Cricetulus griseus: one gene and its partner. The protein of the gene in region 1 interacts with the protein of each later gene in a pairwise test. Links are inferred from orthologs where the notes say so. Each region holds a gene or a part of one and is shown on either strand. Other genes may lie near its edges.

The links.
Region 2: the proteins of Zmym2 (region 1) and Foxp1 come close enough for resonance energy transfer, tested with the Homo sapiens proteins (2 studies listed by BioGRID). The link is inferred for Cricetulus griseus from reciprocal best matches to the Homo sapiens genes ZMYM2 and FOXP1.

Annotation. Positions count from the first base shown.
Region 1 is NW_023276807.1:211,964,430-211,968,238, forward strand, and holds part of Zmym2 (zinc finger MYM-type protein 2), read left to right. Parts: intron 1-1,001; coding exon 1,002-1,287; intron 1,288-3,214; coding exon 3,215-3,380; intron 3,381-3,809. UniProt on the Homo sapiens protein: Involved in the negative regulation of transcription.
Region 2 is NC_048601.1:44,450,148-44,454,724, forward strand, and holds the start of Foxp1 (forkhead box protein P1), read left to right. Parts: upstream 1-1,679; 5' UTR 1,680-1,835; intron 1,836-3,653; 5' UTR 3,654-3,763; intron 3,764-4,577. UniProt on the Homo sapiens protein: Transcriptional repressor. Can act with CTBP1 to synergistically repress transcription but CTPBP1 is not essential. Plays an important role in the specification and differentiation of lung epithelium.

The DNA of each region.
Region 1 (3,809 bases):
GCTTTTAACCTCTGAGCCATCTCTTCTAGTTCCTTGATTTGTTTTTTTACAAAACAAAACCATGAGTTCTGAACTCAGACCTTCATGCTTCTACAGCAAGTATGTTACCAACTGACCTATCGTCCAGCTCCATTCTTTTTTATCTAAACTGACAGAAATAATATGCTTTTTTTTTCACATAGAACATGTTGATAAGAAATATGTATACATTGTGGAATGGCTAAATCAAGCCTATCACATATTGTACTATATACTTCCTTTCTTTTTATAAAACTCTTGAGCCGGTTGGTGGCGCATACCTTTAATCCCAGCACTCGGGAGGCAGAGGCAGGCAGATGTCTGTGAGTTCTAGCCAGCCTGGTCTATAATAGCTTGTTCCAGGACAGCCTCCAAAGCCACAGAGAAACCCTGTCTTGGGGGGGAAAACAAAAACAAAACAAAACAAAAAAACCAAAAAAAACCCACACACACTTGAAATCTTTTTGTTTTTCAAGACAGGGTTGTGTGTGTGTGTGTGTGTGTGTGTGTGTGTGTGTGTGTGTGTGTGTGTGTGTGTATAGCAGCTCTGGAACTCACTCTGTAGACCAGGCTGGCCTCAAACTCACAGTGATCCGTCTTCCTCTGCCCCCCATTTTCTGGGATCAAAGGTGTGTTCCAACACTGCCTGGCCTTATCTTGCCATTTTTAAGACTATAATATATTGTTTCTAGAAAGCAAACAGTCTTACCCACAGGCACTCTACCTCGGCAAAATTGCTGCTTCAAGCTTCATTAGCATGAGACAGGTTTTACTTTTGAATTCAGACAGGTCTTAAATTTATGGCAATCCTTCTGTTTCAGTTTCCCAAGTGTTGGGATTATAGACATGAGCCACCACATGTGACTTTAATTATTATTATAAACCTTGGCAAATTGGAAAAGTAAAACTTTTTCTTTGATAATAAATTTCAATGTCCTTAAATACTTATTTGATTATTCTTTTCTCTATATTTTCTTTTTAAGATTCTTGGATCTCTCAGTCAGCATCATTTCCTCGTAATCAGAAACAACAAGGGGTGGATTCTTTATCACCAGTGGCCTCACTTCCTAAACAGATATTCCAGCCTCCCACCCAGCAACAACCCACTAAACCAGTTAAAGTCACTTGTGCAAACTGCAAAAAACCTCTACAGAAGGGACAGACGGCTTATCAGCGCAAAGGATCAGCTCACCTCTTCTGTTCAACCACCTGCCTTTCTTCTTTCTCTCATAAACCTGCTCCAAAGAAACTCTGTGTTATGTGTAAAAAGTAAGATTAACCTTTCACACAATTTCATGTGGTTGAACAGTGATCATAAAAGTTTTTAGAAATTTCATTGAGACTCTTGGGGATGATTTCATGTTTTAAAATTATAGATTCAGCTTCCTATTTGGTAGGTTTGGGGCTAATTTGTTTAGGCCCTTGTAATTATTTTGATTGTCATCTCCAATGGATCTCTTGATTGTAAAAATGTGAATATTTACATTGTTTTACTGTTTTTGTTTTTTTCGAGATAGGGTTTCTCTGTGGCTTTGGAACTAGCTCTTGTAGACCAGGCTGACCTTGAATTCACAGAGATCCGCCTACCTCTGCCTCCCCAGTACTGGGATTAAAGGCGTGTGCCACCACTGCTCGGCTCTTGAGCCTCACCTCATAGAGGCTGACTACTACCAAATGCATTATTAAGAATGCATTGTATTTATATTTATGATCTTCTTGTTTTTTGAGTATTTGTTTTGAATGTTATAGTGTCATGACAGGTACTTTTTTTTGCTATCCTTAGAAATACAGTTTCTGTCCTATTTTATATCTGTTCTTAATGATAGCAAACAAAACTGGATGATATAATGTATTGCAGGGTCATATCAGATGGATTTTCTGTGCCCTCTTGGAGTTGCCTAAGTCTGAAGCTATTTTTAGGTATTAGACCTCCAAGAAGGGCTTAGTGCTTTATTCTTAAAGTAAATCTAAGCACAGTAACAATTGTTCAATAGAGTTTAGATTTTTTTTTTAATTAGTTTTATTTTATATGCATTGGTGTTTTGCCATAGTTATTGGGTTCCCTGGAACTGTAGTCACAGACAGCTGTGAAGCTGCCCTTCGAGTGTTGGGAATTAAATCCAGGTCCTCTGGAAGAACAGTGTTCTTAACCACTCAGCCATCTCTCCAGCCTGTGTTTAGATTATTTTATAATACACTTAAATACTGTAATGGAGAGTCTAGATATTTAGTATTTCTTTTAAAGTCAGTAGTGTCATATTTATAATAATAATAATAATAATAATAATAATAATAACAACTGTTATTTTTTTTGAGATATCTTGCTATGTAGTCCAGGCTATCTTGGAACTTTATGTAAGACATTCTGGCTTCAAACTTGTGTCAGTCCTGCTATTTCTTCCTAGTGCTGGGATTACAGGTGCATGCCCCCCTTATTGTATTTGTTCATCATTTTATCTAATTAGTTAGTTAGTTCATTCAAAGATTTATGTCAAAACAGGGTCTTATGTAATCTAGGTTAGCTGTATATTGAGACCTTGAACTCCTGATCCTTTTTTGCCTCTACCTTTTAAGTATTTGGATTATTGATGTGAGCCGCCATGCCTGGCAAGTGGTGCATTTAAGTAGAAAATATTTGATGTAAGCTGTGTGGTGGTGGTGGTGCACGACCAACAATTGGGAGACAGAGACTGGTGAGTTTCTGCGTTTGAGGCCAGCTTGGTCTATGGAGTGAGTTCCAGGACAGCCAGGGCTACACAGAAAAACCCTTTCTTGAAAACCCCAAAGGGGGAAAAAAACATCATGTAGTCTTTCTTGATGTTAAATTCCTATAATCTAGGAATTTTATGCTTACCTATTAGTCCAGAAGGCAAATTCAACAGTCACTATCTATCATTTTAAATAATTTGACTTTAATTCTATGTAATTATGGTAATTTTATTTTACTGTTTCCAATATCTGAAAGCCTTGTTAGTACATTTGATGATAAATTATTAGTGACAGGATCAAATATTTTGACTTTTTAATCTTTATTGCCAAGAGTTCATATTTTATACTAAACGTGATCTCCTGAATCTAAAAATGGTGTTTGATTTTCATGAGTCAATCTGTGGAAATTAAAAATATCAGGTATAACTTTTATTTTTGGTTTCTTTTGAAATGGAGCTTTGTAAGTTGTACCTCTTATTTTTTTCAGAGATATAACTACAATGAAAGGAACAATTGTTGCTCAAGTGGATTCAAGTGAGTCCTTCCAAGAATTTTGTAGTACATCTTGTCTATCTCTCTATGAGGACAAGCAGAGTCCTGCCAAAGGAACTCTAAATAAATCGAGATGCACAATCTGTGGCAAACTGACCGAGGTTTGTACTTTTGTATTTTTTACTTGCTCTCATGTGCGATCATTTTAGATGTTGACTGTTTCTCCCTACTTTTTTTTATGTGTATGTATCATTAGAAGTGAGGATATATAAACTCTTAGAATATTCTACTATTTAATCATAGTCTTCCAGAAAAATGATTCAGGAAAAATTACCTTGTTTCATCAGATTGAGAGAGCAGTCACAGAAAAAGTCATAGCGTTACGATTGCTCTTTTTCTTTTTTACTGGTCTAATAATATGTTTATACAAATAGGCTAACTACACAGGAAAGATAAACACAGGCAAATAGAAGTGGAAGAATTTTCAAAAAATAATAAATGCTGGGCGTTGGTGATGCACACCTTTACTTTAGTCTCAGCACTCAGGAGGCAGAGGTAGGCGGATCTCTGTGAGGTCGAGGCCAGCCTGG
Region 2 (4,577 bases), on another chromosome or scaffold:
AGCATGAATTCCACCAGGCTGTATTATTCAGCCCACACTACTTTTCTCTGGCAATGCCAGTGAATGGTTTTTTTTGTTAATTCTTCTACTTTCCAAACATAGGATATAAATTTAAATGATAGTCTCACCTCATTTCAATTCAGTTTTACATTCTGCAAATGAACATTTAATATTTGTCAAAAGACATTATCCAGGAGAATCTATTATAACGGAGTAAGAGTATTATTTATATCTGTGTTATTCTCAAGATGCAAACGGCAGTAAGCAAGCCTCAGCTCCCTAAGCGCTTTGGAGGAGACCCCAAAATAATCTCTGTTCACTAGAAGCCACAGAGGTCCGGTTTCTAAGACCCGCGCTGAAAACAGAATCAGCTTCCCTGCCTATTTATATTGCTAAAAGTGCTTTTTGTCTTATGTACTTTTATTTATATTTCAAAAACATTTCATCTGGGCTCGTTTGGGTACTTATTTAAATTCACACACTCAAACAAACTTCATTACAGCAAAAAGAAAAAAAAATCTCACCTTCCCAAAGAATTGCACAAAGCTTTTTTCTCACGTGACTGATGTTCGAGAGAGCAGGTAATTTGTGTTAAACAAGTGATTGACATGCTAGCCCCCGGGTGTTTTCTTAAGAGGAACCGTGGCGAAAACACAGTTCTCCTTGCAGCCACTTTCCCCCCAAGTGGACCTGGCGACAGGGACAACATTCCTGCAGAGACTGACAAGGCCTGAGGGAGTAAGTTCTTGCTCTCATCACTCTCTCCCGATTCCGCGATGCAGGGGAAAATCCCCCTGGCTGGAGGGGTTTCTGTTTCCTTGCAATCAGGGGTTTGTCCTTCAGCTGAACTTTCACCTTCCGAACTCGCCTTCTTTCATTGGACAAAGTGCAGAAGGAAAGGGGAGAGACCGAGGGAGGACCCGAGAGCAGGCGTGGGGCTGGAACGCCGCCCCTGCCGCCCTCCGCTCCAACTGTCACCCAGGCGAAGCACTTTCACTTTTAACTGGAGGAAACTCCATCTCCGCCTGTCCTCTCCCCTCCTGGATTTTGGAGCTCAGATCTTAGCGGAACCTCCCTGGCATTCCCCTCTGCGTCCCTAGTTGCTGACACTCCTCCTCTCCATTTCCCTGGGTCTGCATGGGTCCCTCTCCTCTTCTCCTGAGGGGACCCCTTCACCCCCCAGGCCCCTCATTTTCCAGCTCTTTCAATCCAGTCTCCCTTTGCCTGGGAACTGTTGTGGCGTTCCCGTCCCGGGTTTCGGGGCTCTGCCTCCCTCTCCTCTTCCCCTCCCCACGTCCCTCACTTGGCAATTGCGATTCTTTTTTTTTTTTTTTTTTCTTCTGCGAGCCCTGTTGTTTACCCAGCAGGTGGATGTGACGTCAGAGACGCACAACAGCAAAAAATAACAACATCTCCCTCCGCGACGCGATGGCCTCTCGCGCGCGCCTTATTTATTTATTTGTTCCGGGATGCCGCGGGGAGGGGGCAGGCGACCCAAGGGCGGCGTAGAGAGGTGTAGGTCGCTCTCGGGGGGTCGCGGGGGCCTCGGGAGTGAGCATGGCGGGGTTTGGACCCGGCTGGGGGCTGGGGCGGGTTGGGGGCGCCTCGCGGCTGCAACGCTGGCGCGACTCGGGAACGAGTCCCAAGCGGAGGAATCTATTGTTATTTATTGTGTGGCAGCTGCACGCTGTGCTCGCGGCCCGGCCCTCGCCCGCGAGTGCGTGTGTGCGCGCGTGAGTGTGTGAGCGGGGGGCGCGCGCGCGGGCGGGAGTGGGCGCGCGCGGGGAAAGGCCCCGAAAACACCTTAGTTTGCACCGAGAGACCATTTGCCGCGGGTGAGTTCGTATTTTTCCATTTCTGCTCCACTTTTTTTTCCCCAAGCCGCCTCCTGCCTTGTTTCCGCCACTTTAAACAACAACAACAACCAGCACCAAAAAAAAAAAAAAAAAAAAAAAAAAAAAAGGAAAAAAAAAAAGAAAAAAAAGATACAGAAAAAATTTCCTACTTTTCATCTCCAGGCTCCACGTGCATCTCCCCCAACCCTCTGTTCTTGACTCGCTCCCGAATCGGGGCCCAGGATCTGCGTGGGTGGGGGCCGCGCGCGGGCGCCGGTTTGGAGGAAGCGCGGGAGGCGCCCGCACCCTTGGGTTCATTTGCATAAGTCACTGTGGGGTGCGGTGGTGACCGCACGGACAAGCTCGTCTCCCCCTTGGCCCCTCGCGCCCCTGCGCTCGCTCACACCGCTCGGGTACAGCGATCAATAAGCCCAGGCCGCCTGTCGCAACTTTGAGTGCCCAGCGTCAGCGTTTGGTGGCCGCCTGGTACGGGTACCCGGAACCCGGCCGCGGTTGGCGGGGGCGTGCGGCATCCTCTCCCGAGCTCAAAGTTTGAACTTGGAGCAAACTTTTCCCCTGCTATCCAAGGGTGCGTGCCCCTTCTGTACCCCGGGCTGCCCGGCGAATGCTGGAGGGCTGAGCAGGGACGCCTGCGCCCTGGGCCCGGTGCTTGGCGACATCCCTGTAGCCACGCGTGTTTTGGTCCGAACTCAGCCGTGTGGATGCTCTCTAGCTAACCCCTGGGAGCCCAGAAAACTCATACACACACCCGCGCACCCTCTGCCAGACACGCACCCCACGCGCGTTCGGCCCCCGCTTGTCAGAGACGGCGCCCGCGGCAGCCGTAGCCGAATCGCGGGTGGGCATGGGGACAGGGCACGTCTCGAGGACCCTCGGCGCCCGTACTTTGGATCCCCCGCCACCATACACTTTCGCTTCTGACTCCTGCGCCTCTTAAGCTCAGGGATCTGTCCTGCTACACGCGCGTGCCACCGCGTCCCTCCGGCCCTGTCCCGGCCACCGATGGCTCTCCGTTTCTCGCCTGTGCGCAGCTTTCCTCCCGTGCTCTCGGCACTCGGTTCTTGTCCCCCGGAGACGTCTCTCCGGAGCCGACGAGACGAGGCGGCGCGCGCTTCGGGTGGGGACCGAGGCGGTGGCGGCGGCGCCGGGAGCCGAGGAGTTTGCCAGCTGCCGCAGGGTCGTGGTCATCTGCTGCCTCCGCCTTCCCTCGCCCCCGCCTCCCGCGCTCCCCCCCCTCCCGCCGCTCTCGGAAACTTTGATTCCTTGTCCCCCTCCCCACCTGTTGTGAGCTCCGCCTCAGTCCCCGGAGACTGGCGGTGACACACACGGGCGCCAGGGAGCTCCGAGCCCAGAAACAAAGTCGCATGCCCCCCCCCCCTCCGTGTTTGCTTGGAAATTGCTGCCTGCAGCACCCCCATTCCCGCGCAGCTCCCGCCCCCTGGGAGCCTTAAGGACTAAATAAACAGTTGTAACTCCAAACCTTGCGCCTGCCATCGCAGCCCTATCCCACCCCTTTCCCCCGGTTCTGCCCCTCCTTTTTTGTTGTTGCAACTTTGTAAGATCCCGGGAAGGTGCTGAGACTAAGGCTCAGGCCGCGCTCCGGGTCTCCGGATCCCTGCAGGGATTCCCGGCCGCGCATCCTCCTCCCCTGTCCCCGAGCGCTTGGAGGTTGCCTCCTCTATCTCTGGTCTCGCCCCCTTCCGCCTAATCACCTCGTCCCCTTCGATCCCCCCCACCCCGAAACCTTCACGGAAGGAAGACTTGCTGAGGGTCGTCCCGGTCTCTTGTCGGTCACAGACCCCGAAAGTTTGCCCCAGGAGGACGGCGCGCGGCGGGCGAACGGGCGAGGGGCAGCGGCGGCGCGGAGAAGCGTGGAGCTGCCGGCGCCTCCTCCCCAGACTCGGTGGGTAAGTCGAGGCGGCCGTGGCAGGCGTGCGGGCGGGGGGAAGCGGGGAAGCCGAGGCGCTGTACCAACCAGCCTGGGCAACCAGATCGCTGTGACCAGCCACGGGGAGCAAGGAATGTGTCCATCAGGCTGGGACCTGCTTTCTCCCTTTTCTATCACTTTCTTCCCTGAATCCGATATCAAAGTTAGCGTGGAATGTGAAGTGTAAAATGGTGACATCCCTTGCTCTCAGCCCGCTCCCCCCTTATAACTATTAATTATTTCCAAGCCATTGTGTCCAATACTCTAGCTGGGCTGATTTCAGTGTATTGATTTAGGCTAGGCTCATCCTACGCTTTCATCTTAATTTATTTTCTTATTGCTTGACTAGAGGACCCAAAATGAAACTTATTCCTTCCTTTTTCTGTCCCCCCCCCCACCAGCCCCTTCATCTGGGTGGTTTAAGTAGAATAATGAAATTAATATGAACACTTCATTTGAGCTTCTTCAGCACACTGCTGAGGGCTCAGGATTGCTCTCACGGCAGGCTCCAGGTATTTTCCAGGATCAGATTTCTTATTCTGTCTCTCCTCTTTAAGCAAGAAGGCTGCGGGAACATTTTGGGAGCCCTATGCACTTCACCTTCCTTGGGCCATAGCCTGGAAGAACTTACAAAATAGCTAAGCTGAGAAAAACACCCAAGGATATCTAAGGAATTTTTTTCTGTTCCTGAAAATGTTTTGGAGTATCCTAAATTCTTGCCTTTCTTGCACTCTTATTTTTTCACAGTGAGAATGAGTTTTGGGGCTAGCTTGATGAGAATTTGATGAGGGCTA